Linked DNA regions of Caenorhabditis elegans. The protein of the gene in region 2 purifies or fractionates together with the protein of the main gene of each other region. This does not show direct contact. Each region holds a gene or a part of one and is shown on either strand. Other genes may lie near its edges.

Region 1 (7,904 bases), on a different chromosome or scaffold from region 2:
GTAATTCGGTTCTTCTAGATATTTAAGTTTTTATTCTTTATCGAATTCGTCACTTTAAAACACTGAAAGGTGAATGTAAAAATATGTTTCAAACACAATATGAAACATGTTCTATTGTTTTTTGGCATTTTTACGCACCTCCTCCTACTCGTTTCCTTTCCTTTTTGCTCTCTTTTCTACTCTCAACAAACATTTCTTCTGTTTTTTTCTGTCTCTGTTGGGTGCTTTGCTTTATTTAAAAACGTTAAGCTGACCTCATCTGTGTTTACTTTTTTTCCCATTTGCACACATTTTGGTTTCTTCTATTTCCATCATCTCGATGGAAAATTGGTAGGCGGAAGTTTGTTTGGATTTCGAGTTCTCTAAAATTCCAAACGTTTTGCATTTTTCATGACTCTGACGATTCTCAAGGGGGAGACGGGAGGGAATATTGCGTATTTCAAAACAATGCTTTTTTCATAAAGCTTTACTGCAAAGTAATTGTGTCTTATTAATTGATGCATCCTCTCTCCTTTATTCATAATTCCATCTTTCTCTCATTAAATTTGATGACGTTGTTTTTGCACCAGACAATACCAAGTGTCCGGCTCAATAAAATAATTCACATTTTTTTTTTGCAGATGGTTATTCATTGCGCCTCTCATCGTTCCTCAACGGCCAGTGCATTTTTGATGCCCGACTTCACCAACAAGCAAATTATATTAGATGAAAAATACGAGTATATGGATTCAGTGGACGCCATGATTGGGATGGGAGCATTTGGAGCAGTGTTCAAGGGGAGCTTGAAGGATTCTAGCAATTCGGTAAAAAACGTTATATCCCGTTTGTTATATGAGGAGTATTATTTCAGATTGCCATAAAAAGGATGCTCAAAGTGCACGTGAAGGAGAGCGAATTGAAAATGATCAAGTAAGTTTTAGTTTTGTATCTCTTAATTTTGTTGGAAACTTTCTACTATAAGATTTTTCAGAGAACTCAACAGTGAATATCTAGTCGGAGTACTAGACATTTGCAATTTCGACGACTTTTTCTGCTGTTTAATAATGGAACTCTGCGATTGTGATCTTGACCATCACATGCGCAATATTTCGGTCAAAGGAAGATTGAATCCGTCGAATTTCAGGTAAGGAATTTGGAATTCTCGCATTTCTTTTCTTTGCATTACAGATTGGGGAACGGGGGGGGGGGGGGGGGGAACACACAAACATGTTTTGATTCAAGTAAATAGTAGAGAATACGGAACAGGAACTAGGGAAGAGGGCTAGGATAAGGAAGTTTCAGCATGTCTTCCTCAAAACTTTTTTACAACTTTCAAACAGAAATCACTTCAGGCTTCTTCTTGACAACATTGCCCGAGGATACAAAGCGCTTTATGAGTTGAAAATTGTACATCGGGACATTAAACCCCAAAACATACTGATCACTTATACAGATGCATCGAAACAAATTGCTTGTGCTCGGATCACAGACTTTGGTGTGTTTTGGAACTCATTACGTAATTTAATTCATTTCTTGTTTCAGGAATTTCGAGAACCCTTGATAACGAGGGAGAAGAGCTGTGCAACGTTGCGGGTACATTTTATTACATGGCTCCAGAAGTTGGAGCGAACCTTTTAAAAACTTGTCAGTATGACTCAAAAGTTGATATGTGGAGCATCGGATGCCTTCTCTACCAATGCGTTACAGGAGAGGTTAGTCCTTCCGAACCCTAAAGTTTTTCCAAGAACAAAAACGCAAATAACTCCCCAGGGGCTTCGCAGTTGAAGTGGAAGAATGACGTAGATAACTTCATATTCACAATTTTTCTTTTGCAGGTCCCATTCGATGAGTGCAGTTTGTGTAAGCTCTTCCTGTATGTGGCAGGGGCTAACTTCGACGCCTACGACCCGCCTGAGCTGCCCGACGAGCTGAGTCAAGAGGTTTCGGGGATTATTCAATCACTGCTGCAGCTCGATACCACTCAAAGATGCACACCTACTCAGTTTTATGACAAAGCAATCAACTGGAGTCAACAAATATGTTAGCCGATCCTTTTTTTTTAAATGTTTAACCATTACAAAGAGTTATCTCATATCTCTACAAGTAGATCTATCATTGAAATATATTTGAAAAGAGAAAACAAATTTCGGGTTTCGAAGTTCACAGAATGTTAATTGATTGTCGAATAAAATGATTTATTAGTTGAAAGTATAACAATTTGAATATGAATCGAATAAAAAAACAGGAGAAAGTTGAGATCATGAACAACGTCGGTGATAAACTGAAGAAAAACCAAACTAATCAAAGGCCGGAGAACCGTCAGTTGAGACCATAGACCAAACTGACTAAATATTATAACACATCTTCAAAAAATTTTCAGACAAAATTATGGTAAATTTTCAAATTTTCCACATCGAGTCATTTCAAATATTTTTTAAAAAAGATTTTAGCATTATAAAAGCAAACTTGAAAAATATTCCCACTGGCAATAAAAAGTTAGGCTCAAAGTTAAAGACTTTCAATTTACATAAATTCGAATAAAGAACTCCCGCCAAAAATGTTAGCATTCAGAACCGTAGAAAAATTAATTCGGCTTACAAATTATCAAAAAGATTATTGAGTGGTCCTCATATTGTCTTTTCCCTCTCGTTCTCTTTTCAGCGAGGCCAAATCTTTTGTGACGAGCTGCAATGGATCAAAAGTGCGATTGTACGTGTGTGAAAACGACGGAATCGGGCTGCCCACTAGTCTCCATAATCCTTCTCGAGAGTTCACTTCTACACACGACAAGTATGGTGTGTTTTGAAGTAGGTAGTAGAAATCGTCAGTTGATCTGATATCACCGCCGACCAGCTGCCGAGTGCATGTTTCGAGTGATGCACCATGAGCCACAATGAGAATGTTTCCTGGAATATACATTTAACGTGACGTTTTATGAGATGTAGAAGCTAGAAAGTTCATAGGGTGATAGACAGGAAAATCACGAGAAATACACATTGATCACTAGTGTCAAAAAGTTGAGAAAAGAAATCACCTTCTGTGCATTCCGACAAAATTTTGTTTATAGAACCAAACGATCTTTGATAGAAATCTGCTAAGGTTTCATTCATTCGAAGCTCCTTATCCGTCCAACATGGTACATAGTTTTCTTGTACAGGGTAGCCTGAACATTTTTAGTATTGGAATTAAACGCCGAGCATACGTACCAAGCTTTTTCAAATCTTTTGGCGGAATCCAGCATGGTCTTGCGTACCTTGCAAATACCATCCACTCATAAAGCCCAGGTTCAACGGAAAACTGAATTCGCTTGTCAAGACCTAGAACATGTTTATTTTAAGTGATGTCAGTTGTCTTGCGGGAAACATCGAAACATGACGTACCCATTCCCTTCAATAGACCAACTGTTGTTTGGATGCACCTCAAAGCCGGGGAACAGAAAACATGGTTGATTTCGATTCCATTGTCACGTAATGCTCGTCCTGAAAAATTAATAGGTCTTGTTGATGAAGAACATAATAGATAATAGTTTAGACAAATTCTGACTGAAAATAAAGTTATTTTTTGAAAAAAAAAACTATTTAAAATACAGTACAGTATTAGAAATGATGTGGAAAAGAAACCAAAGAACAGTATAAGCTCTTGTTTTTACGATTTATAAAATCTTTCATAAATTTGTAATTTTAAATGTTTTTATAATTATTTTTATTTAAACGTTGTGCGAATTGAAATACATTTTCAAAAAAATACCTAAACTTTCTCGAATAACATATGTAAAAATAAATTCAAGTTTTTCAAATTTTAACTGTGTTTTTGAGCATTTAATAATGATTTGTTTTTTAATAGTTCTTATAATTATTCAATATAACCAACTAAAGCTCTTAAACAAATTCCATATTTTTCAACATTTTTCTGTACAAGACAATAGCCAAAATTCAAATGAAATGACGTTTTGTATAAGTTCGAATAAAAATGCACATTTAATGAAACTGCATTGGAATATAAAATTTGCAGAAACATGTTTTTAAAGTTGAATTTCAGAACTATGATAACTGTGAAACAAAAGGTACGCGGTCAAAAATTTTAGCTGCCGAAATTGCCGAAATTTTTCGAAACTTAAAAAATTGAATTTGGCATAATTCGCAATTGTAGTTATTTGTTAATCACTTTTTTCGGAAAACTCTTCGAGATCTTATAAAAACTAAAAATGTAAAAATTGCATACTTTCAGTAATTGTTTTTCAAAAATTGGTCATTTTGGAAATTGCTGGTTTTTTTTTGATTTTTCAGGAAATTTCAAAGATTTCTTAAACAGCCTAAATCAAATTGCTATGGCTCTAAACAATTTTCCAACTGGCAACTGGTTTAATTTCAAACAACTTAATTTGTTATGAAATTCAAAAAATAATCTATCTAAATTATTGAAATAAACTTGAAAATTGTAATTGTTATTTTTGCAAATAAATTGCAAATTTTCAGTTTACCTGTCAATTTTGATTGAAGATAACCAATTTCAGTCAACGGGGTGTCGGCAGCAAAACCTTGCCATCCATCGGCACGTTTTGGAAGAGTTCGGGGAAGATTGATGTCAAGCGGGCGATATCTACAGACTTAAACTTGTTCTAGAATGCTTAAAATAACGTTTACCTTCCTCTGCTGTCAAATGAATTGATCCAAAGTCCTGACTTGCCAAATGCAAAATCACATCTTTCACCATGACGGATAATGAACACTCTCCGCTCGGGCATTTATCTGGAATACAAACGAAATGGAAAAGTATATTTATATAATATTATTCATATGCAAAATGAAATGAAATGAAATTGAAAAGAGAAATACGATAGGAGAAACAACAGAAATAGAGATGCGCAAGCGCCTAGAGAGTGATGATTGCTGAAGAAACGTAGAGAAAGAAAGACGGAGAAAACAGTGGAATCGAACCTGAATTTGGATGCGTGCCAATAACTTTCACAAGCAAATTCTACAACCAGTATAAGACACAATTCAAACAATTGACAGAACCTCAAGGTCGATCAATAAAAATCCGTCGCACGCTCTAATTGTGAACAATAGAATTTAAACCTACATATAATAGCGCAATCAAAAACGAGTGATAAGAGACATATTTTTCCACTTTGCAACTGTCTGTCACAAAATAAAACGTAGTAGTAAAAGTAAAAGCATCAAAATTTTTGAAACGAAAAATTGGTTTGACCTCGCTAAAATGGAAAAATGGTGTGTGTTGAACAGAAACCGAAATCTAACGAGCGCAACATAATTGAGTCAAATTCAAAAGACATTTTTTTGATGGAAGTGCCAATGTGGGAAATATTTTGAATTGACTAGTTTTTAGAAATTATTTTTTGAGTTGTTTATTTCGCAAAATCACAAAATTTCAACATGTTAAACGCAAAGAAAACCGTTTTATAGTACTAAAATGAGCAAATAGTTATCAAAATATTTTTGACAAAGTTTTATTTGCATTCAGAAAGTTTGGATTCTAAAAATTTTTTTAAAAAGCCAAATTTACCAAAACTTTCACGACAAGTTTGAAAAATCTGAATATTTTTGGCAAGTTTAATTATTATTTGATTGGAAATGTTTTTTAAATTAATTAATTAAATAAGGTTTTACGAAACTTTTCTTTCACAAAAATTATATAGGGTGCAACTAATATCTTCAACCTATTTCGTTTGCGAAAAAGTTGCGCAATTTTTATCTATTTATGAATGCTGAGCAAGGCAAACTTTGAAAAAAAATATTTAAGTGGGAAATTATTTTTACTCTGTCGAAAATAACTATTTTAAAAATGTAAACTATTCAAGAAAAGTAAAAGTTATCAGATGGGAACACAATTAACTTTTATTTCCGTATTTTTTCCTTATATATGAATTCTCGTAATAATTAGCGCACTGTCTTGGTAATTCAGCGTTTTGAGCTCTAATAACTTTGTAATTTTTTTTTTAATACTGTGTGCGTTAATTCAAAATTTGTGAAATTTTCCGACTTTTGTTCAGTTAAAAATATTATCAACAAACGCAAAAAGAATCAAATTTTAGGGCTTTAGGGCAAAATCAGGTTTTCCAGAAAAGCGTCTGAAAAATTTGCAAAGCCCGTTTCACATAGAAATTAAAAAAAACTCAGAAAACAACTAACATAACTAAAAAAAACTAAAGTAAAATCCCAATGCAGCACTGTTAAAAGAAATACGATTTGAAATCTCGGTGACTCATTGTCAAAAACCGTTTTCTATGTCACTAACTATGGATGATGGATATATAAAGCAGTGAGAGGAAACGGAAGAAAAAGACAATGAAAGCGGTCGACTTGCTGAGTTTTATTTGCCTAAAGAATTAAAAACTTTCTCTAGTGCTTGTGGTGCTCCATAGCCACACCGCATTTGACAAATGACAAAAAGTGAAAAGAGCATAGGACACTGGTGTTCCATTTTCTCATATCTACACCATTTCAAAACATACATATTGAAAAATTCATTGTAATGGCAACTTTGTCATAGACAACGGGAATGGGAAAAACCAATGGGGAGGAATAACCCGTGGGCGATACGGAATCCAATGTCTCGGGAGGATAAGTATGTGAAAGAGAAATAACGAAATATTAATATTAGGTTACAACCAGATTTTTGATGTGAAGAAAAAAAAATAAAAAAAAGAATATGCAAAAATGACATGTAAATGAGGAAAGCTGAGACAGAATGGGGACACCGTAGGCAAAACGTCGGAAATCACAACACAAAATTAGAAAGAACCGAAATGATAATTGAACTGTCACTATTAAAGCTTTGAGAGGATTCATTTAGAAGTAATGGTCCTCATCTGGCCAAATCTCCCATGGAGCCTTCTTCTGGTGATGAACCCATGGTGCATAGTTCCTCTCGACTGGAATGTCCAACTTGATGGTTCCTCCCTCTTCGAGGTGGTCACGGAAGTAGCGTCTGAAAAATGATATAAATTGTTCTTCACAGAGCCTAGTGCAGGTAACAGAACATTTTCAACCAAAGAATAGTACTTATAATTTTTATACACTTCCCTTGTTATAAACGTTCATCAATTTTTTTTCTGGTAAAGGTTATAGCGAATGAAATCTTGTGGATCAGAGATGCGAGACCAAAACACTTAAACAAATTCAAATTACTCTAGATTTCAGAAAGAATTTTACGAATCAATGTGTGCGCTAATTTTATGAAATGTTGCGTCAAATCTAAAAATCTCAAAATTCTGAAAGCTAAACATTTTCGATTTGTTGAATTTGTTCAAATCAATACCGCCGGTCTATTTTAAACTAGATTTGTTGTTGGTCTATACCATGAAACTTGAGTTATTTGTCGAAAAAATCAGATCTAATCAAAAGCAGGTCCATGAGATGTTAGCCACCATGACTTTTTCCAGAGTGATGTTGATAAAACAAACAACACAGAAAATGATCAAAAATTGCCATTGTGAGTTTTTAGTTGGCAATATTTTGCGAGCAATATCGGTTTCCAAGTTATACCGCTTTAAACAGCTTGAAAAAACTTAAAAATCCAGAGAAACATATAATTTTTGTCCAAAATTATATTTACTTGCTTTTAAGCTTAGCAATTTCACTAGTTGAACTTTTGAAAAGCGAAACAAAATTGTAATACCCTGTCACTGGTGCAACATAGACACATGGGACGTTGGCACGATCCAAAGACTCGTCAGGTATCATATTGACGTAGTACTGATGATAACTGTATTCTGAAATTCATTAAAGTTGTATTTATGGTTTTATAATCAAGGAGTGTACCGTAGTTCTGTGAGTCGGTGACCATTATGACGGTGGCTCCAGCTTTTTCTCCATTGAGTGCTTTTACGGTGAAAGAGCATTCTCCTCGCTCCATGAGAATGACTGAAGGGGCAAAGATCTCATTGCGCAGAGCCTCACATC
Region 2 (6,444 bases):
AGTACTGTAGGACTAATGTAGATATACAGTAACTTTGTTCTTTCAGGGAAAAGTGATCCGCTACAAAATGGAAGAAGGCGAGCAACTGTCGCTGGAGCTGGTCAAGCCTGGAATGGGAAGAAATGCAGTTTCTTAATACTCGAACTTTATTTTAAAAATAAATGTTTAACAGAATTTAACTCCGTTGTGATCGATGCATCCAGGTGTATCGTCGGCCAGAGCGACAACCTGTCGTAATATTATGGGAAACTCATATTTAAAAGCGCACGATTTTTTTTGGATGGGTCTCGCAGCGAGGAAAGTCTGACAGTACTTTTTGGTCGTTTTTTTTTGCGGCGAGACCCGTTCGAATAAATCAATAAATCTGCGCGTTTTTAAGTACGAATTTCTGGAAATTGAGAGGCTATCATAACTTACTAGGCATGTCACAAAGAGCAGGAAAGTAAGACGAATGATTGTAAGAAGTACGGTCATTATCACAGGAATATTGAATGAATATTAAGAAAAACTGTGGGCAATATATACTTTCGGTTATCGGTTTTTAATAGTACATAAAATTGAAATAAAAACAGCAATAAAAGTCATATATCACAATGTGACATGTCTTCTAATGCAGGGGTGTGCGGCAAATCTCAAAGTTTGCCGAACTCGGCAAATTCGGCAAATCTCTTTTTTCAATATTTGCCGTGCTTAACAAACTCGGAAAAATTTGAAATTTTTTATGTTTTTTGGAGCACCAAAACTACTGAATTCTTAACACACATCTGGTTTCTGAATAAGTTCCGCGTAGTATGTCTGTTTAAGCATCAAAATAGCTCAATTTTGTGCCATTTCACTAATTTTTTGGCTAAAAAATCAATAGTTTTAGTCAAAATTGTACTGTCAAATTTTTGACGTGTGCGGCAAATTTCGAAATTTGCCGGGCTCGGCAAATTCGGCAAATCTACTTTTTTGAAATTTGCCGTGCTCGGCAAATTCGGCAAATTTGCCGAGCTCGGCAAACGGCAAATTCGGCAAATTCGGCAAATTTGCCGCACACCCCTGTTCTAATGGTCGTTGTTTCCACTGCCTTTTTGAACGAATAATTCAGGAACTGTGACGCCAGGGGATCCACTGAAGACGGACGACGTTTTGATTTCGGCAGAACTCTTGAGTCGGTAATTTGAACTTCCGCAAATTCGTTTCTTTCTTTGCATAGATTCTTGGACAATATATGCGCCAAGACGACCGAATATCATAATAAAACACTCCAAAAATTTTAGATGTTTCATAATTTCCGGTTAAAGTCATGGCAAGTTTCCAAAAATTTTGAAAACTATGTGCTTCTGAGAAAATCCAAAGTAGCATGTTCCGACCCCTACAATGTTTTGACACAAAAAATGATCTACAAAAAATGCGTGAATTTTTGGCCCAGAAAACTGTGACGTCACTCCTAACCATGCAAAATCAGTTGAGAAATCTGCGTCTAGACGCTTGTAGTCATTTAAAGAATTACTGTAGTTTTCGCTGCGAGATATTTTGCGCGTCAAATATGCTGCGCAATTCGAATTTTCAGATTAAATTTTTAGAATTCCAAAAAAAATTGCAGGCATTTCGTTGAGAACTCTAAAATGACACAAGAATTGTCACTTTCCGACAGAGAATTGATTACTGAATGAAAAATGCGGCAAATCTAATGTTTTTATTCATAAAAAAAAGATACTAGGAGATCAATGTTATGGTTTCTTTTATTGGATCCGTCCTACTGTCCTCTAGTCCTGAGCACACCGCCCCGAGTAACAGCAGCCACTTGCTCAGCCTTCAATTCATTGGCTCTTTCAGTTTGCTCTTTCAGCATTTCCGGTTTCATTCCTGTCAATTGTTGGAAGGTTTGAACGAGTGCAAGTGGGTCGACAGTTTGACGAGCAGCCGGTCCCCATTCGTATCGGAACACTTCTTCGTCGTTCTCGTTCACAGATTTCGTAAATGCGAGATATCCCTTTTTGATGAACTCGGAACGAGCGTTTGGAGCGATTAATTTCTTCAGGAATTCCATATGATCCAGGGAAAGTTTCCGATCAGAGTGTGTTGACATTGAAGCTTCCTGAAAAGTTCTTAAATTTATAAATATTTTGTATCAATAAACTTCTACCATATAAGACATCAGATCTTCTTGAGCAACTCCTGGATGTTTCGATTGAGGCTTCGTCGCCACAAAAACATACATCAACACATTCTTGAGAAGTCCCAATGTTCTCTCGGTCTCACTTGCTCTCACTTCATTCGGTGCATCTCCATTCACATTCACATATGTGAGGCGATCGTCTTGGATGACTGCCTGAAGATTTAGAAGATTGAAATAAATTAAAAATAAGCAGTGAAAAACTATGAAATCTTACATTCCATCCCTGCCAATGCAGCAAATTCTCATTGACAGCTTTCAAGACTCCCGGCAGAGGTCTGAACTGAACTGATCTATCCTTGACGACGGTCGACTGGTAGATTTTACGAAGCTCGCTGATCTTGACAACTCCTTTCTCACACTGAAATTCACTCAAATATGCTCTTTTTCGTCTGTGTGAACGACTTACAATGCAGCGAACAATCCAAAAATAGATTTCGTAAGCGAGCTCTTCATCCTGAAATTGGACGATATTTGCGGCATATTTCATAAATAAGCTTACCTCTCGAGATATTTGTGTCGCATCATCGTCGCTGCCGCTCATCGTTGTCCTTTAAAAGCTGAAATTTCCTTCATGAAAGTTATGTTAGATCGTTGAATTCAAAAGACGCATTTATTGTCGAGCTTGCACCATAAAAAAGAATCTATTTTATTTCAAGAACAACGAGAAAAATGAATTTTGATAAAAAGAAAACGTTTTTAAACGAAAATGTTTCAAAATTGAGAAAACAAAAAAAAACAATTTGTTCAAATTGTTTTTACAGACTTCAAATTAATGCGCCCCACGGTGGTTCAGTCGCTAGATGGCGGTAAACACGCTCTATTGCGAACAATCGTTTAAATTTCAAGCCTTTCGCTCGGCATCGATTCTCTCCGTTTTTTGCCGATTTTAACCGTTTTTCCGTATCTTTTTTGTAATTTTTTTTTGTAAAATCAAAAGAGTGTGTCTTGTTTCAAGTAGTAAGCGAAAAAATTCGAGAAAAACAAAGGAACGTCGAAGTGGGCGGCAAGGAAAACGAATTAAGTGAGTTTTTTGACGAGTTCTCTTAAAAAATCACAAAATATTTTATTTTTTGGTATGAAAAAGAAAGAGCTAAAAATTCTGAACAAGATACGAGCAGAATTTTCTAGAAATCGTACCTTCTTCATAAATTTTTTTTCGAAACTAAAATTTTGCACTAAAAATTAAGAAAAAAATTTTTTTTTTCGAAAACGATCACAAAATGTTGTATTTTTCTTGCCGAATCAGAAACAGCTAACAATTCTCTACAAGATGAAGACAAAATTATTGAGAGATCGTACATATTTCACTTATTCACAATTTTTCAATTTTCACAATTTTTCAAAAGTAAATTTTTTTCACTGAAAACAGTTTTTAAAAACGTTCCATTTTTCAAGAAAATCAAAAAGTCTTCACATTTTATAGTTGTTTTATGATCAGCATTAAATTTTGTATAAGATGGAACTAAATTCATAGAGAAATCTTAATTTTTCATTAAGATTTTTTCGAAAAAAAATTTTTTGAAATAAGAAATTATAAAATAATTTTTTTTGCCAAAAAATCACAAAATGTGTTAATTTTTTGCTTTAAAAAGAAAGAACTGTTAATTTTGAGCAAGATACAGGCAGAATTTTCTAGAAATCGTACATTCTTCATAGAAAAATTATCGAAACTAAAATTTTGCACTAAAAATAAAGAAAAAGATTTTTTTTTCGAAAACGATCACAAAATGTTATATTTTTATTGCCGAATTAGAATCAGCTAAAAATTCTCTACAAGATAAAGGCAAACATATACACGAATCGTACATTTTTCACTTGAAATTTTCCAAAAGTAAATTTTTTTCACTGAAAATTAAATCTCAAAAAACGGAAATTCTTTTTTTTTTCGAAAACTTTTCAAAAACTGCTTAGATGTTTCAGAAAAAGGCAAACTTTGTTGTTTCCTCTGTTCGGATGCACTAAAAACAGCATCAAGTGAGAAATTATGGTGCAGTAGAACTCCTACATTCAAAATACCCCATTAACTTCTAGAGCCTATATCTTCGCGGAAAAAATTTTTATGACAAAGTGATCAACTACGAAGTTGTTCATCTTAATGTAAAGAACAACTATGTAGTTGAACATTTTCCACCAAAAAATTTGGTGGCTGAGATAAGAGTGGGTGAAATACGGCAACTACATGCATATTTTCTATTGCTCTTTTCATGGTCATATTTTGGTCACCAATTTTTTTGGTAAAAAATGTTCAACTACATAGTTGTTCTTTACATTAAGATGAACAACTTCGTAGTTGATCACTTTGTCATAAAATTTTTTTCCGCGGAGATATAGGCTCTAGAAGTGAATGCGTTTTTTGAACAAAAGAGTTTCACTGTGCCTCAATTTTATCTGAAATTGTGTTCTAAACATTTAAATTGAGAAAAAAAATCAATAAAAATAGCACTTTCTCATATTCCTGGTAAAATTTTTTTAAGTTTTCAAAAAATGGAAGTACATGAAATCATGAATTTTCAGATAAACACCTTGCCTAGAAGACGTTCAACGTAATGTCGATGGATTTGTCGGCAAGAACTTCACCAGAATTTCAATAAGTGGAGATGCTCTACATGATGTCCTTCATTTTGGAAAACTGCCGATGTAACATCCCAGGAAACAGTCAGAAATGTGAAATTCAGGATTTCCTTTGGTTCGTTGTGTTAAAAACGTTCAAAAATCATTAAAATCTTAAAATTTCAGACAAAAACCTTGCCAAGAAGCTGCTCAAGTCAATTTCGATAGTTTTTCATCATGATTTCGGCCAGGAACTCAAAAAGCTGAGAAGCTCCACATGGTTTCCTTCATTTTGGAAAAGTGGCAAAGTGACATCTCTGGATTTTATCGAAAGGATCGAATTCGGGATTTCCTCAGGTTTGTTGTGATTAAAATAATTTAAAAATATAGAATTTCATCAAATTGCAGATTGAAACCTTGTCAATGAGCTATTCCGCACAATTTCGATGGATTTAACACAAAAAGTTCACCAGGAGTCGAGGAAATTAAGAAGTTCCCACTGATTTCCTCATTTTCGAAAGTTTTTCCCAAGAAAAATTCCAACTTGCAGCCGAAAAGCGAAAAAGAAGGCCGATTCCACATATTAAATTCGTTTTTTCAATCGATTTGCGTGTTTTTTCACTTTAATATTGTCTTTTTAAATGATTACTCCGTTTTTCTGTTCAAAATCAACTTTTCTGTGTTTTAATACATTAATTTTGAATTGTTAGTTGATAAATTTAATAATAAAATCTTTTTTTTTTAATTTTATTCACTTTAAACTAGTAATTCTGCCTTTTTTCTGCTAAAATTTGCTTCAAAAATCTATTTGCCGCTGCAATGTTTTGCGGACTACGGTACGCAAGTACGCAAACACCGCGAGACACATTGCGGACCATTTCGCTGCGTACCTGCGAGATCTTTCTCAAATTTTACGAGAGATCTAGTTTCTGTGCTACCGTGGCGCCCGGAAAGCTCGGAGAGCAAATGCGCCCTGTTGAACACCTTTTGCGCGCGCATTCAAATTTAGTTTTTCTTGCCTCCTAATATTCTTATATGGAAAATCGATCGTTTCGCACTGAATTTGCAAATTTTGGAAGACAATTTTTAACCAAAAAAGTTGAAAAAATATTAAAAATAAATTCTCGAAAAAAAATACCGTTTTTTTTTTCATATTCCAAAAAAGCACAGTTAACTCCAAAATATTATAAGGGCCACCCCTTACGATCTCGGAAATGAAAAAGACAATAATCAAGTCGATTTGGAAGTATCCGTAACTTTTTTTTTTCAGGATTCGGAACACAGCTGAACTCTACACACCATCAGTACAAAGAGAAGACAATATAATACGTTTATAAATTGGAAAGACAATTTATTATTAATATTATTCACTTATGTATAAATTAAACTTTTAAAAAACTAAATATTAACAAAGTTATTAAGAGAACGGAAGCAATTTGTGCAGTGGGGTGGCGTCGCCCTTTTCTGCAAAATCTAGGAGTTCGAGACGAAGAAGTGGATGAAGAAGGCGGTGGAGGTGGACTATCTGAAAATTTTCAATTTAAAAACCTAGGGGGCGAAATTTCGGAAATATACATAAATCTGACTGACCAAGAGAAAAAATCCGATTTTTGTGGAAAATCCCGTCGTTTCAGGCGAAGAAGTGGATGAAGATGTTGGTGGTGATGAAATATCTGAAATGTTTTAATTTAAAAACCTTGGAAAGGATGAATTTTCGGATTTTTACATAA
Region 3 (8,675 bases), on a different chromosome or scaffold from region 2:
TCCAAATTTGAAACCCAAGCTTGTGGAGTTTTGATGAATGGATTTTCTGGTTTTCGCCATAATTCTCTTCGTGTATCGATGGATTCGCCAGATGAAGTCGAGGAAACATCCTGAACAGCCGATGAGAATGCTCGACTTGAAATTAAAAAACGCAGCTGCCTGGAGAGCATCTGAAAAGGGATAAGGTGTATAAATAATTTTAAAAAACCAAAAAAAAAGAAAGATATGTTCTAACACTGTTCGTTTACAGTAGTGATTCAAAATTACGATTTGAAAGCAATATTTTGATTTTTTAAATAGGTAAACAACTGGATATTTAGAAAATGAAGAAACAATCAGAAAACAAGGAAAACAAAAGATCTAATCAAAAATTTTGAAATCTTGAAACTAAATACTAAAAATTAAAATTTATTTTCCTTGCTGCTGACGTTTTCGTTCTTCTTGTCCTTTTCGAACGGCTTCCTTGAACATTCTGAGCAAATATTCAGTGGATTGTGGTGTATCATCGTTTGCAGGAACCAAATATGTCAAGTAAGCCGGATCCGAATTCGAGTCAACTACTCCAATTGTGGGAATCGCCATTTTTGCGGCTTCAACGATGGCTGGATGGTTTTCGCCGAGTGATGTGAGGGTTGACAGGAAGCAGACAGCATCTGGAAGTCGAACTGAAGCTCCGAGAAGTTGTCGAGTGTTCGTTAGAGTTCCTGATTGCCACTTTCGAACGTGAGAGTATTGCCCAACCTGGAAAATAACACCTTTTCAAATTTTTTTTTGTAAAATTTTTTTGCTTGATTTTTAAAGATTACTGTTTAAAAGACATACATTTTTACAGTAACATTCACAACTAGAAAACAATGGTGAATATTTTCTGAATAAAAAAAAACAGCTCAGGATCGCAAATTCCGCAGAAACAAATAATCTCGCAAGATTATTAATTATCGGATCAAAGTATGTTCACATCACTGCTGTTATGAAAACTCGAACCATGAATCATTTTCCAATAGATTGGTGTTCTCACCCCTACACCACCATGCACACTGTCTCACCTCATCTGCTGCCTTCTCAACATCAAACATGGTGTCTCGATTGGAAGTGACAAAAAGAATCATTCCACCGCGCAATGACACATGAGCAACGAAATTTAGAGCTCTGACGAGATATTTTTTGGTAATATCGAGGTCGAAGAGGCAAACTCCAAGACGTTCACCGTACAGGGCCCACTTCATATTGTTGTTTACTGTTCCGACCTAAAAAAAATTATATTAGTTGTTAATTCAACTTCTCAAGCTTAAAATAAATTTTAAAAAATGCGAAAAAATCCCGAAGTTTTTTTCGTAATTTTCCAGTGCAATTTTCGAAGAAAAGAAAATTGGGAAATCGACTTTTAAACGTATTTCATTCATTTTTTTTAACAGTTAGAACCGCCTTTCTTTAAATAGACTACCTTATGTCCGTAGTGAAGTCTTGCTTTAAACATCTCATCGATATGGACCATTTTTTCAAAATTAAATAAATCTTCATGTTGAAGTGACGCGGAAACGAATGGCTTCAACACTGTTGGCTGGACTGTTCCTTTTTCAAGAGTTGCACGATCCGGAACAGACGACGATGATGAAGTAGATGCAACTGGTTTCTGGAAACAAAGAATTCTAAATTATATTTTTGGTAAATGGTTACCTGCTGCGACGCGGAAAATCGTGTCGAGAAGGCTCTTTCTGTACGGATTGCAGCTGCTACAACTCGTCTCATCTGGAAATTCGTGTTGAAAGAAAACATGGTAAGTAACTAGTAAGTTAGAAAATAAGTAATAATCAATTTGGATACAGAAACCAAAGAATCGATAATTCAAAGATATTTTGCAAACTGAAAACAAACAAGTTCATAGAAGCATAAAATTTGATTTGAAATGTATTTCGATATCTCTGAGAACAATGTGAATGTACTGTACCAACCGAGAAAATTCGTGTGCTATGAAAGGAAAGAAGACGGGGAGGCGGGGTTCACTAGTCTGAATTACTCAATCAATAAAATATGAAAACAAAAATCGAAATATGAATAATTATTTAGCTGATTATATAAAATACATGAAAGAAAAACACGGGGGACTTATGGCATTCTATTGAGATGATTCTTGAATATTTCTGAATCTACTGATGGATTGTGACTGTTGGAGAGATCGCAGCAATAATTGGCAAACAAGAGTAGAGTTGTCATCACTTTTTGCTAATTTTTAGACATGGAAACATTGGAATCTCTTCTGAAAACGACCAAACGACATTTCTGTCCGTCAAATCAAGTTTCAGAACTCTGCAAGCAATAATGTTCGATTTCGCCACGTGGATCAATTGCCTGGAAATAAGAAGATTTTTAAACGACCAAACAGCATCAACCAACATCATTTCGCGATTTTGCTCCACAGAGTTATCGATTTTTTCGAGATGTTCACGTGCTTCATTGAAACTTTTCTGAGCTTGATCGATCAGTGTCTCAATCTTGTCTTCATACATTTGGTCAATTCTGAAATGCGAATAATTATTTGTATACCCATAAAATGACATTTTTTAAAAACGCAGTAAACGCTTACCCCGAATCACTTTTAAAACGTTCGTAATCCACACGAACTGGAGGCCCAAGTGAGTCGAATGGTTCGAATCGTCTTTCGAATCTTAGTTTTTCAGCATCATCTCCACCCTTCGGCATCTTGATGATTCCTTTACGAATCAGAACAACTGTCAGTCTCACAACTCCATCAGAAATCATTGAAATTGCGATTTGATTGAGAACACTGAATTGATGAGCAGCGACACGACGTTTCAACTCTTCTCCAAGTTTACATCTCTCTTCCCACAGTTTTTTGTTTTTAGTCTCTCTCAGTGGATCTGGAAAGTGCATAACAGAAAACGGCTTCATGTCTTTGTTCAATAAATTTTTTGAACCCTAACTGTAACAATTTGATGGTTTTCACTAACTTGCTTGATAAACGTTCAGCTGAATTTCTTGACTCCGTTCCAAAGTTGTTCTCATCCAATGTGCTTGAACTGAACCAATAAACCAGTAAATGTATGGGAACTCGTAAGGAACGTAAAGGTCCATTCGAAATCCAAGTTCGAAATAATGGTTAATGATTGCAAGAAGATTGTGAAACACAAATGTAGCCACTGAGTGATATGAGTAGTTCTGCTCTTTTGCTGCAATGATTTATTTGTGGAATTACTGGGAATTTAGAATAATTTTTAACATAATTTTTTTAATTTTAAATTATCTTACCAGTAACCATTTTTCCGCTAAGCAATACTTCATCAGTTCGCTCTTCCAGTCGTCCAGCATATGAATGGATTTGACCAAGATCTTCAATGGCCATCTCAAGACGATCTCTTTGACGGGATAAATTGCATCCAAAACTACCATAGACGGTGATTGCGAGTTTTGACATGTGATTCAAAAATAACACATATAGACTTTGAGCAGTTTGATCTTTGTAAACAGGAGATCTGAAATAATGAGATAAGTTCGTGATGTATTCTTGTTGAGAAGTACTCACACTCTATCAAGAATTTGTGGGCAGAAGCAGTTGCTCAGTGAGTATTCAACGGCGTCAGCAATTGATCGATTCTCATCACCACACAGATGGTTGTCGACTGGGAACATGCAAATTTGAAGAAGAGATCTGGTGAAGACGCATGCATTCTGACCGAAAGTTCTCGCAAAGTAGAACAAATAGTTCAAATCTTTTGAAGTTTTTGGAGTGACAATGCATAGGTGATATATTCTTTCAGCACACTTCACCCACCAATCAGCAGCTTCTTGTCTTGATGGAACCTTGATTTTTCGAGGGAAGCATGCCGGGATCATTCGTATACAAGTTTTTGGTTCATATGCGCCAAGCCATAGGTAGTCACCATCACCATCAATATTGTCGGGTGCTCTTCTTCCTAATTTAACTGTTTCCGCATAAGCCTTTGTGACCTTGCACAGTCTTTCAGCCAAAATCGAGGCGAATCCAAAATTGGGCTTGAATTGTTTCATATCATCTTCATCTTCGTCGTCGCCTACATTTTCATCATCATTTTGATCAGTTTCATCTGTTGCTTCATCATTACTTTTCTGTTCTTTCTTCTCTGTGGTTTCCGATTTTGCTTCACTTGAAGGCGTTGGATCAGACGTGGATTCTTCTGATTTTTCGTCAGAATTCTCTTCGGCTCCTTCATATTCTTTTTCGTGAACATAGAAATCCCCCAGATGAACTTTGTGATCGAAGTTAGGATCTTCAATTTCTGGTGCAACCAATAAGCCAATAATTTCCAAAAGCATAATAAACATTTCAAGACGGGATGCAACAGCACAGCAAATATCGTACGCCTGTTTACTGAATGCTGACTCTCTCCACTTTCTTCCAGTAGTACCGAGCAATGTAACCTGTTCTCGCATAAGCTGAACGACGACTCTGCGAGGAGCCCATCTCTGATGACTGAAGAGCATTTGTGGATTGAAATCTTCGGGTAACTCTTCTAGGTTACCAACACTGTTGATAAGTGCATGAGCATTTCGAATGAAAAGATTGACGCCGGATGCGAATGGGTGGAAAACGGGATGTTTAACAAAAGTCACATTTGAAAGCAGCACGTTTGTCCAGACTGTCGATCCAAGTGCACTTCCTTCGAGCCAAGCGACAACCATCGCTAACGTACTATCCATAATTGCAAGTTGAAAAGGATAATCGTCGGCGTAGAGTCCCTGAAATTATTGACTTAGTTTCGATAATGAAATTTGACAAAATACCCCACTAATCGCTTCTTTCAATGTTTTAATGTGTTTTGATCCTACTCCAACGTCCATTTTCGGTTCTCCCAGTTCAATTGCTGACATGACATCTGAGAGCCGAAAATGCTCTGTGGTTACCAGTTCGCCCAATCGCAAGCCTTAACGTTTTGAGAAAAATTATAATATCCAACCTATAGAAATTACCATCGCAAAGTTTAAAAAACGTTTTGGAAACGTCTTCGCTTTCGTTTGGAGATTCCATTGCACCAGGCATTGGACCCGTAAAGCTGAATATTAGAAAACTTTGAAGAAATCTGAGAAATGTTAAAAAATTAAGAACAATGTCTGATAATGGGATTTACGGTAAACAACATGCACCTCGTTATTTTGGAGTGTCGTAACAGAGCAAACGCGCTCTATGGACAATTTTAAAAAACATTTATTTTCGAAAGAATTGAAACAATTTTTTGTCTTTTTCTAACTTTTCAGCTCTTTCTGGATTTTTTCTATGATATTTATATTTTTCCCGTTTCAAATTCGAAATAATAGTTTTTTTAAGGTTCAAAATGCCACTCAAGCCCGGTGCAAATCCCTACAAAATTCTCCATCTCGAAAAGGGATGCACAGACAAAGAAATTCAGAAGGCATATCGTGCACAGTGTCTTAAATGGCATCCGGACAAAAATTTGGATAATAAAGAAGAAGCCGAACGTAGATTCATTGAAGCCAAAGAAGCATTCGATTTTTTATATGATAAAGAGAAACGAGTACGTTTTTACTGTCGCTGGTCAATGTAATACTTTATTTTTCAGGAAGAATATGATAATCGAGAAGAGAGAATTCGAATGGCTCAGGAACACCATAGTAAACGAATGGCTGAAGCAGATGGAAAAAGGAAAAAGTTAATTGAAGATTTAGAAAAAAGAGAAAAGGAGTTTTCCAATGGTGGAAAACGGTCAGCAGATGGATCAACTCCAATGACAGCAGCACAACAAGCTAAAAAGAAGAAAACCGATCAAAGAAACTTTAAAGAAGAAATTGAAGCAATTCGGAGGCAGTTGGAGAAAGAAGTCAACGAAGAGGTGAAACAGAAGGCAACATTGATGAAAACAGAAAGGGAAAAGCATCAGAAAAGTCAAGAAAAATTAACTCCTCGATTACTTTTGAAATGGAAAACATCAGAAGGATTAGACTATTCTGAAGACGATATTCGAAAATTATTTTCGACTTTTGGAATCATATCTCACATATCTTCGGCAATAGAGAAAAAAGATCGACGGAAACGAATCCTCGAATTTGAGTCGGGAGCAAATGCATGGGGAGCTGAACTTGAAACTGGGAATGCTCCGATGCCTGAAATTACGTGTGAATGGTTACAACCACCGGTGGAAACTGTGAAGAAAGCTTCGGATGAGCCAGTAAAATCAACTAATACGGGTGCCAACAATTTGGAGCACATGTCTTTGGACGATCTCGAAGCACAAATTATGGGTGGATTCTAATATTTTCATGTTTTTGTTTATTTTTATATAATTATAAAAATAAAACTTAGCTTATTTATATTTATCTTCAAACACTTTTCGATTGGTTTTTCGTGTAAGTTCCAATGTATTTTTCTATTGAACATAAACCTCGGTTTTCCCATTTGCGACTCATTAAACACAAAAGATTGCCGATATTAAGAGACGCAGACGTGAAGAAAGTGTGTCACGACGCTCCACAATCCCTCACCCGACAACCTCATTTCGTTTCGATTTTATCTCGAACTTTATTTCTGAACATTTAGAAGCTTCCACGCTTTCAAATGGCATGTAAATACTAAACGATTTCCAATTAAATTGGTTAATGAATCTGTTTTGAAAATGAAATGCTATGAAGAATTTCAAATGTTTTTTCCCAAAATAAAATTTTTAGATTAAAAAAGTTTATCATAATTTCAGAAGATTCTGACATGCCCTCTTAAAGGCACATGAATTTATTCAGATGGGTTTCTGCGCGCAAAAAAGTTTATGGTAATTTCTTTTCCATAAATCAGACTATTTACCTCATCAAACCCCAAAATATAGTTTTTTTTCAATTTCATTCAATTTACCGTTTATCAACAGATCATAGGTTAAAAATTGCCAATCACCTGTCAGTCCACCCATTCTCGTCCATTTCCCGTCATTATCATTGTTCCATAATCACCCGTTTCCCCCAGTTTTTCTTGTCTTTTCCTATCAACATTTACCATATGTTTAATTTTTATTTACAGAAAGATGGCACATCAACCGTGTTCATCGTCATCTTTCTCAAATGATTCGGGGTCAGACTACATTGTAAATTTGAACGTTGGCGGGAGGATATTTGCTACAAGTTGCAACACGCTCACCTGGATTCCGGATTCATTTTTCACTAGTCTGTTGAGCGGTCGAATGAATAGTGTTAAAGATCCGAGTGGTGCCATTTTTATTGATAGAGATCCTGACTTGTTTCGAGTTATTTTGAACTATTTGAGAACGAAACAAGTTGATTTATGGTAAGCGGTTTTTCTAAATGACCAAACTTTCCAATACTAAATTGCTTTATTTTCAGTGGTATAAAAGTCGACACTTTGAAACATGAAGCTCTTTTCTTCGGACTAACTCCACTAATCCGCCGTCTAACTTTATGTGAAGAACTGAGTTCAACTTCATGTGGATCTGTGTACTTTTGTGGAATGATCCCACCACCTGATATGCCTCTTGAAAACTTACCAAATGAGAAAAGTCGCTCACCTATGTATTCTAATTCTTCTGAAACATCGACAAATAATTCCAAGAATAAATCAAACGGGTCGCCCAGACATCGTGGACATTCCAAAAAACAGTCAACGGATATGAGTAGATATGTAGGCTTAGTTTTAATTCTAATTAAATATTTCAATTTTTAAATTTTCAGATAAAAAATGAGCTATCTGAGCTAGCAAAGTCGAAAAGTCAACCAGACCGCGACACGGATCCAATGAAAGTTCGAATGATTCGAGCACATATATGTTCAATTGTTGTAGCATATTCCTACTTTGTATGTGTATATAGAGTTACTGAATGGAATACATATGTTCTATTGTGGAAATCTCCAAGAGCACGTACCTATGTATCACACATTGCGGTCAATACTAAGATCGCAGCTACAGTTGCGGAACGATTAGTCGCAGTTTCTTTTCAAGATGATACAATAGGATTGTGGCATATCGATGATGAAGGAAAAACCGAGAAAAAAGGTTTTTGTTTAGTATTCTATCGTAACGGAACATATTTAGAAATATCAAAATTTCAGGATTATTCTCGATGAACGTCTCAATTGACAATTTATTCTTCGTTGGAACTCAAATGGTGGCTCTTAGTAAATCAGGAAAAGTTGGAATTTGGCATTCTGCAACACAAAATTGGCAGGCACAGGACGTTCAACCAATCTCATGCTATGACACAGCTGGGTCATCTCTTATTTTAGGATGTGCAAATGGAAGTATGAACCATATAGACATGCAGAAATTCCCATTACGAATGAAGGATAATGATTTGCTGGTGACAGAACTGTTCAGAGATCCAAATGGAGAAACAATAACTTCTTTATCTGTTTTTCTAACTCCAAAAACATGTAAGAACTTACCTTTATTGACTTATTAACGGTAAAAAATTTTCTAGCAGCCTGTGGTAATTGGATCGAAATCGCATATGGAACGTCGAATGGAGTTGTCAATCTCATTTTACAACATCCTGAAACTGCTGGCCATCAGCCAGTTCTTTTTCAAAGTTACAATATTCACAATTCTCCAGTTCAACGGGTTTCCCTGAACACATCTCACCTGATAAGCGGTGAGTACAAGAAATTTAGTTGAAAAATGATTGGAATTGTTTAAATAATACGTCATTTTTAAAGTTTCGAATAATTTT
Region 4 (6,952 bases), on a different chromosome or scaffold from region 2:
ATAATCAAATCAGATTCTCCTTTGAGAAAAAAAAAACCTTATAATCATAACTGCATTAGTCAGACCTCGCCCACATTTCACCTGCTGTAGTATGTGAAGCTTTGTGATTTGGGTTTTAAAGTTGTGCTTTCATTTTTCCTCATTTCGCTTCGCAAAACAAAATCTAAAATAAGTTCTCACGGAAAGGCTCCTATTCTCTTTAAAATAATTTCAAACATTCCTTCTAAAAAATCCTTGCAAGCCTCTTAGTTAGTTGTGATCGTACATCTAAATGAAATCTAACCACGTATTTAGTTCTTATATTTTGACGTCACAATCAAGCATTTTTAGTGTATTTTGTGAAAAAAATCCAAACTCACTTCTACGCTTATATCGTGCCACTACAGTAGTCCGGTTGTATCGTCCGTTCGTGGAAACTGTAATAGATTCTGGATTTCTTTGTGAACCTTAGAATATGAAATTTACTACTATGGCAGCGGTGAAGTTTCACTCTCTATCAAAATTACGACACCGGAAACTTGATCTCAAATCAAGAACTACAAGCTACATACTTATAGCTTAGACAGAACGAGACATGATTCTCAAAAAAAGCATGACTTATCGACTATAATCCCGTCTATTTTATTATATCCTTTTCACTGATTTTTATTCTGATTTCATGAAATAAATCAAATGACATGTGATTTGTGTTTCTCCCTTTTTGTGAATTTGAATCTTATTTTTCACACTTCAGATTTCACATTCCGATATCATTAATGTCGTCTGCTCAAGAAGAAGTAAAATATTGTCTGGTTTGTAAAACATCACAACCCCAATTCAGCTATGGCGTAAGTTATCTAATTTACGACATCCAATTTAAATATACACATAAGTGTTTTTACATGTATATTATTATTGCAGGCTAGCAGTTGTAATCCATGCAAAATGGTTTTCCGTCGAGCAGTAAACTCCAAAAAACCACCAAAATCGTGTAATCCTGGAGAATGCCCACAAAGATGTTTGATTGCTGAGTTCAAACAGAAATGCCCGAGAAGAAAATTTTATGAGTGTATTAATGCCAATATGAGAATTGCATCTTTTGATATATACTCAAACAAATTTAAACTTATTCAAGATTTAATGTCATCAGATGCCGAACGTCAGAAAATATTTTATACATGCCATGTGACTGCTGATTTAAATTTTGAAGAAATGCTCGATCCAAAATTGGTAAAATTATGTAAAAAGGAAATGGATGTCGTCTTCACTTCTCATGATTGGGTCGCAATTGAGGCTTTTACCACTCTCGAATTCATGAAAAGAATACATTTTGTCAAAATGCTCAATGCTGATGAAGCCAATCTTATTTTGAAACATTCGTTTTTCACATTATCAATTGTATTTATGGCTGGACGATCTTATTTCGATAAAAAAGAATTTATGGTTTTTCCTGGAAAAGTGGATGTTTTTCCCGAAGAGATTTCCGATCAATATCCTCTTGATCTTTTGAATAGAATACGATGCCGTCTTATTTCAAAGTTTATTGAACTTCGAATCACAACCGAGGAGTTTTTATTGATGGTTATTACGTATTTCTGTCAAATATGTAAGTTACATAACACTTTTCAATATTATTCAGACACGAAATATTCCGATTTTGTGCCAAATAAACTATGTCTGGTCTCGTTACGACAAATTTTGTATAAAATTCAAAACGGTGTGTGTCTTTAGAGTATTGTAATTTCAAACTTTTGATGCTGCAGAATTTTCATAGATTTTTCCTATTTTTACAATAAAAATATGTTTTTGAAAACTCAAATCTAACAATAAAAACATATACACTTTAACAAAAGGGAAAGAAAATATTTTCTAGAAAACAATACAAAATCAATAAAAACTCCGCAGCAATAAACGGTTGAAATTACAGTACCTCTTTAAAGGCACACACCTGATATTCGTGGCGATATCCTAATAAATATAATAAATACAGTATAAGTGTAAAAGTGTAGGAGCGTGTCGAGACTATTCCGCATAAAAGCGTCCCCTTTAAAGTCGTAGAAGTGAAAAAAACGCAGTAATCTAATAAATAAATTACCCTTACAACTAGTACTCTGTATTTAACCATAAACGTCAATATTTTTCAGCTTCTATGCTTGTTGGTTCCTCTGCGAAACGAATTATTGAGGAGTATCTGAGCATCTACCTGTCTACACTTGGTATTAACTGTAACTTCCGTTTTCAAAAACACGGACGAATAAGATACTTAAATATTATATTTCTGAGTCAGCTGATCGAGAAAACAATAGAAGATCTTGCACAACTGTTTACATTATTCCAATTGAACCAACCCACTTTGCCATTGAGAAAGCTTGTCAAAGAATCTCTCTAAAGCTAGAGTGGCACTTTTTCATCTAAAACTATCCCACGTGGGTACCCACCCCTTTTCAAACTTGCATTGTTATTCATTCAACCCTCAAACTTTTCCTCGAGTAATAAAAGATCATCTACAGTAATCACCCAGCATCTCATGAAAGCCAAAAAATTAAGATTCAGAGTTCTAGTCAGGCAGTTTCATTTCTCAATATGAAAAATGCAATATATACAGGCAAGTTTACAATAATATGGGGCCTCTATGGGGGCAATAGTTTTTCACGGGGTTAGTCAATTAGTGTGTAATTTTGTAAAAAAAATGGGTACAATTAATGGCATTGAAGCAGGGTCGATGAGTCGACGCACTCGGTGTTGGCAGCTGAGAAGACGGCGTTGCTCGCGGCACAAGTGAAGTTAATGAGTTGTCCGGCAGTGCACTGATGATAAGTGGCAGAGCAAAGGCCATCGGAGAAGAGGCCGTCAGTGGAACAGTCGAATGCAGCAATTGGAGTCTCATCAATGAGAATAGTGTCTGAAATAAACATTTAGGGTTGCTAATTTATGAGACAAATTCACCTTCGATGAGGCATTTCAACGATGTTTGTGGGTAATCGCAGATCAAAGATTGATCGTTGAAAACCAGGCTGGATGGGCACTCGAAGATATCAACGTGTCCATTCTGGCAAGAGAGAACACGTGGAGAGCATCCGATAGCATGAAGTCCATTGTCCAGTCCAACGCATTGATTTTGCTCTTCCACACCGGATCCCTCTCCTGAGCTTTCACCAGAGGCCTCACCAGAAGCCTCTCCAGATCCTTCTCCAGATTGTTCACCGGAAGCTTCTCCAGATTCTGAAAAAAGATAATAAAATTTTGAAACTGTAAAAAACGATCGTACCTTCACCCGACGTCTCTTGGCATTCGGAAACATTGGACTCGTAGTCGCAACGTACGGTAGACTCGGAGAACTTGAGTCCTGCTGGACAGAACATGACGATGGCACGGCCGTTAGTGCAAGCAGTGAATGACGATGAGCATTGTCCGAATGAGAAGTATCCGTCCTCTTCGCATGTTGGCTGTGGAGTTGGAAGTCCAGCGCATTCAGCGACGTCCCGTGGCCAGTCACAAACAAGAATTGTTGGATTGAAGACGAGAGAAGCTGGGCAGTCCATGATGCGAGCAATTCCACCAGAGCAAGTGAGGAAGTTGGTTGAGCAAACTCCATTTGGATGGATTCCGTCAGCTTTTCCTTCGCATGTTGGCTCGAGTTCGCCACTTCCTTCCCCAGAAGCTTCACCTGATCCTTGCCCAGAAGATTCTCCAGATGCTTCACCTGATCCTTCCCCGGAAGCTTCTCCAGAAGCCTCTCCAGATCCTTCACCAGAAGTCTCCCCTGATCCATCGGTGATGGTCAGGTCTTCCTTGCATTCCTCGACAAGAGACTTCCAGATGCACTTCTGAGAATCAGCATCGTAGAAGAGTGGAGTTGGGCAACTGAGGAAACGGGCCGTGTTTGTTGTACAGAAGAAGTAGTAAGTGGTACAACCACCTGATGAGTAGGCCCCGTCTTCGAGATTCTCACAAACTGAAAAAAACATTTTATCGATGAATGATTTGAATTAACTTACCATTTTCGACTGTCTCCTCTCCGGATCCTGAACCCTCTCCAGAAGCTTCACCAGATCCTTCTCCAGATGCTTCGCCGGATCCTTCCCCAGATGCTTCACCGGATCCTTCTCCAGACGCCTCACCGGAAGATTCACCAGATCCTTCACCTGAGGTCTCACCAGATGATTCTCCAGATCCTTCGCAACCAATCACGTTGTGGCGCCAGTCGCAGATAAGAAGTGGCTCGTTGTAGATGAGATCAGCTGGGCAATCCATGATTCTTGCGATACCTCCCGAGCAAGTCAGAAATTGTGGTTCGCATTCACCAAGAGCGTAAAGACCATCGAGAGCGTTTGTACAGTCTGAATTGTCAATGTTAAAAAAGCATCTGGACAAAACTCGCACCTTGAAGGAACTGTCCATTGGCAGCTGTGGCAAAAGCCAGGAGTGTGAGTGCGGCAACCGTCTTCATCCTCCTGAAATAAAGATCTTTAAGAAAAGAGAACAAGAGTTGAATTTTTAAAAACGGTAGTGTCAGAAATAAAAGAAAATACTAAACTACTTTGCATGCACGATATTCTCTCACAAGAATAATCGTATGACAAAGAAACCAACTGAAACAAATGAAATGAATGACTAATGCTGGATAATTTCGAAACCATTGGCAAACAAATAAAAACAAAACAAAACAAAAATTTGAATTTTCCCGCCGGAGGTCAAAAAATGCTAAAACAGATCAAAATATGAGAAAATAGGAAGAATACAAGCCTAGTATCATGTTTTCAAAATTACAAAACTGAAAAATGAGCACTGGAGCGCGTTTGTTTGCGCTTCAAAAATTGACGCGCGAAATTTGAAATTTGATTGTTTTTTGTTTTTAGTGCAATTTTTAACTTTCAGGTGTTCAAATTTCACATCAATCTGTTAAAATTAACATTAAATATTTAATTTTAATTAGATGTCCAAACTTCCAAGGAATTTTCTCTTATCAGCAATCGACTTCATTACCCCACTGAAAAAAAAGTTTTCGCGAACAAGTAATACATGCATTTTTCACAAAAAAAACACCCGTTTCGTGTGAAAAGTATACTAATGTTGCGTGACAATAAAAATTGATAACTATATAAAATTATTCCAGATATTTTCAGCTTTTGATTATAATTTCTTCACAGAAGTTTTGGGAGCTCATATCTGATTTTGAACAAGCGAGTTATTTTTTTGGCTTTTTTCTTTAAATTAAAGAAAATAGGTCAATCTCCGAACATTACTGTTAAAAATTTACAAAAGTTTTAATATTTTCTAATTTTTTTTCAATTGTTCAAAAAAACTCAAATGCCCTTCTAGGCCACGCCCACTTTTTTGTAGTTTTCTGGTTTTCAGCAAAATTGCACTGTTTTTTTTTCGAATTTCTTTTTATTATATGTGAATTGACAATTCCCCGCAATTTTAAAGTAAATTTCGTAAGCCGACGAGAGAGATGACCTTCTGGATACTTTTTGATACAGTAACCCACATCGAGAGTTTTCCTCTGTTTCTCTGTATATGCTCACATTCGATTTATCCCCTTAGTTTCCTTCCGTTTCATAGTAATTTTCAATTTCGAAAAACACAAAAAAAGTTATAATAAAAATTCTCTCTCGATTAGGTTCACCTTATAAAGACCGTGTACCCATTCAGAGGCGCAGAGATCTGCAGGTGCGCATTTCCTTTTTATGAGCTTGGGAATGAACGAACTGCTCAATTTGCCCCTCACTCGTCCCAGCTACTATTTACCACTTTTGCACATTCTGTCATTCTTTGGATAACAGTATCATTTGGGGACATGGAGTGGCAATATACAGTTCTATTTAATATCAGGTTGTCCCATAAGTTTTTGTACTATTTTTTTTTTGAAAAAAATTTATTTCTCTCAAGCGACAAGTAGTACTATTCACACAAGTATTCACCATTAGTGTCCACCACTTGTTGCCATTTACTAGGTAACATCATGATGCCACGGGAGAAGAAATCCGGCGAACGCGATGAGAAGAAAGTGGAGAGTTCAGTTTTGAGATGCTCTTCGTCGTCGAATTGCTTGTCGCGCATGTAGTCACTGAGAGACAAGAACAAATGGTAGTCGGTTGGTGCAAGATCTGGAGAATATGGTGGATGCGGTAAAACAGTCCAACCAAGATCTTGCAGCTTTTGGAAAGTCTTCTTGGCGACATGAGGCCTAGCATTATCGTGAAGAAAATATAGTTTTTCATATTTTCCGTTGGTCTTTTCTGCAACTCGGTCCAATTGGGCACAATAGTAATCAGCAGTGATAGTTTTATTAGTTGGCAACAATTCCCAGTGCACGGGTCCTTGAACACCCCACCAGACACAGATCATAATCTTTTTTGGGTGAAGATCAGGCTTTGGCGTCGGTATTCCTTTCTCACCGATCGGAAGCCATTGACGTTAACTGGAACGGTTAACATAGAGCACCCACTTCTCATCTCCAGTAACCAGATTGTTCAGCCAATCGAACTTTCGACGAAAAGTTAGAAGTTGAGTACAAACGTTGACCCGAGTGAGCTTCTGTGATGCCGAAAGTTCATGAGGCACCCAAATTCCAAGTTTTGAAGTAAAACCAAGGCGACCCAAGTGACATGCAATTGTGCTATGACAACACTCAAGCTTCTCTTCCATTTCACGAAGACTAAGACGAGGCTCTTCCTCCACCAGCTTCACTAGGTCTTCTTCATTTAACTCTACCGGTCGCCCAGAACGTTCTATTTCTTCGAGACTGAAGTCGCCGTTCTTGAACTTTTGAAACCAACTCTTTGCTGTATTATAAGAGAGTGCTCCCTCACCCATCGCACCGCATATGTTTCGTTCCGCTTCCATTGCTGAATGACCAAGACGAAATTCATAAAGAAGAAGCAATCTAACGTCTCGACGTTCAAGTTTGATGATTGTCATCGTGGCAAAGTAGAAATGGATGAAATGAATCTTTTCTGAAAGGGGACGA

What was found.
Region 1: the proteins of mage-1 (region 2) and T07F12.1 fractionate together in Caenorhabditis elegans (co-fractionation; one large-scale study listed by BioGRID). This does not show direct contact.
Region 3: the proteins of mage-1 (region 2) and natc-1 fractionate together in Caenorhabditis elegans (co-fractionation; one large-scale study listed by BioGRID). This does not show direct contact.
Region 4: the proteins of mage-1 (region 2) and cpg-2 fractionate together in Caenorhabditis elegans (co-fractionation; one large-scale study listed by BioGRID). This does not show direct contact.

The regions. Positions count from the first base shown.
Region 1 is NC_003284.9:4,890,880-4,898,783, reverse strand, and holds T07F12.1 (Steroid-phosphate phosphatase), read right to left. Parts: upstream 4,730-7,904; 5' UTR 4,724-4,729; coding exon 4,623-4,723; intron 4,579-4,622; coding exon 4,460-4,578; intron 3,459-4,459; coding exon 3,360-3,458; intron 3,297-3,359; coding exon 3,186-3,296; intron 3,143-3,185; coding exon 3,014-3,142; intron 2,886-3,013; coding exon 2,593-2,885; 3' UTR 2,153-2,592; downstream 1-2,152. Other genes in the region: T07F12.4 (Protein kinase domain-containing protein), read left to right, coding at 621-803, 851-909, 971-1,123, 1,332-1,474, 1,522-1,691, 1,815-2,024; T07F12.2 (PA domain-containing protein), read right to left, coding at 6,792-6,930, 7,621-7,714, 7,764-7,904.
Region 2 is NC_003279.8:2,639,001-2,645,444, reverse strand, and holds mage-1 (MAGE domain-containing protein), read right to left. Parts: upstream 2,722-6,444; 5' UTR 2,706-2,721; coding exon 2,664-2,705; intron 2,619-2,663; coding exon 2,571-2,618; intron 2,523-2,570; coding exon 2,379-2,522; intron 2,318-2,378; coding exon 2,132-2,317; intron 2,084-2,131; coding exon 1,742-2,083; 3' UTR 1,667-1,741; downstream 1-1,666. Other genes in the region: F40E3.5 (Serine/threonine specific protein phosphatases domain-containing protein), read left to right, coding at 47-136; F40E3.3 (uncharacterized protein), read right to left, coding at 6,132-6,239, 6,305-6,387.
Region 3 is NC_003283.11:8,458,760-8,467,434, reverse strand, and holds natc-1 (Protein MAK10 homolog), read right to left. Parts: upstream 5,077-8,675; 5' UTR 5,036-5,076; coding exon 4,966-5,035; intron 4,920-4,965; coding exon 4,780-4,919; intron 4,735-4,779; coding exon 3,542-4,734; intron 3,492-3,541; coding exon 3,268-3,491; intron 3,189-3,267; coding exon 2,970-3,188; intron 2,880-2,969; coding exon 2,585-2,879; intron 2,518-2,584; coding exon 2,395-2,517; intron 2,350-2,394; coding exon 2,214-2,349; 3' UTR 1,866-2,213; downstream 1-1,865. Other genes in the region: mrpl-4 (Large ribosomal subunit protein uL4m), read right to left, coding at 1-170; mrps-2 (Small ribosomal subunit protein uS2m), read right to left, coding at 409-741, 1,047-1,247, 1,445-1,633, 1,678-1,749; dnj-22 (J domain-containing protein), read left to right, coding at 5,328-5,528, 5,574-6,263; T23B12.6 (BTB domain-containing protein), read left to right, coding at 7,020-7,279, 7,336-7,630, 7,681-8,002, 8,059-8,379, 8,427-8,597.
Region 4 is NC_003281.10:7,099,558-7,106,509, forward strand, and holds cpg-2 (Chondroitin proteoglycan-2), read right to left. Parts: upstream 4,434-6,952; 5' UTR 4,430-4,433; coding exon 4,363-4,429; intron 4,320-4,362; coding exon 3,978-4,319; intron 3,935-3,977; coding exon 3,248-3,934; intron 3,202-3,247; coding exon 2,926-3,201; intron 2,882-2,925; coding exon 2,679-2,881; 3' UTR 2,533-2,678; downstream 1-2,532. Other genes in the region: ZK418.11 (NR LBD domain-containing protein), read left to right, coding at 925-1,585, 2,124-2,368.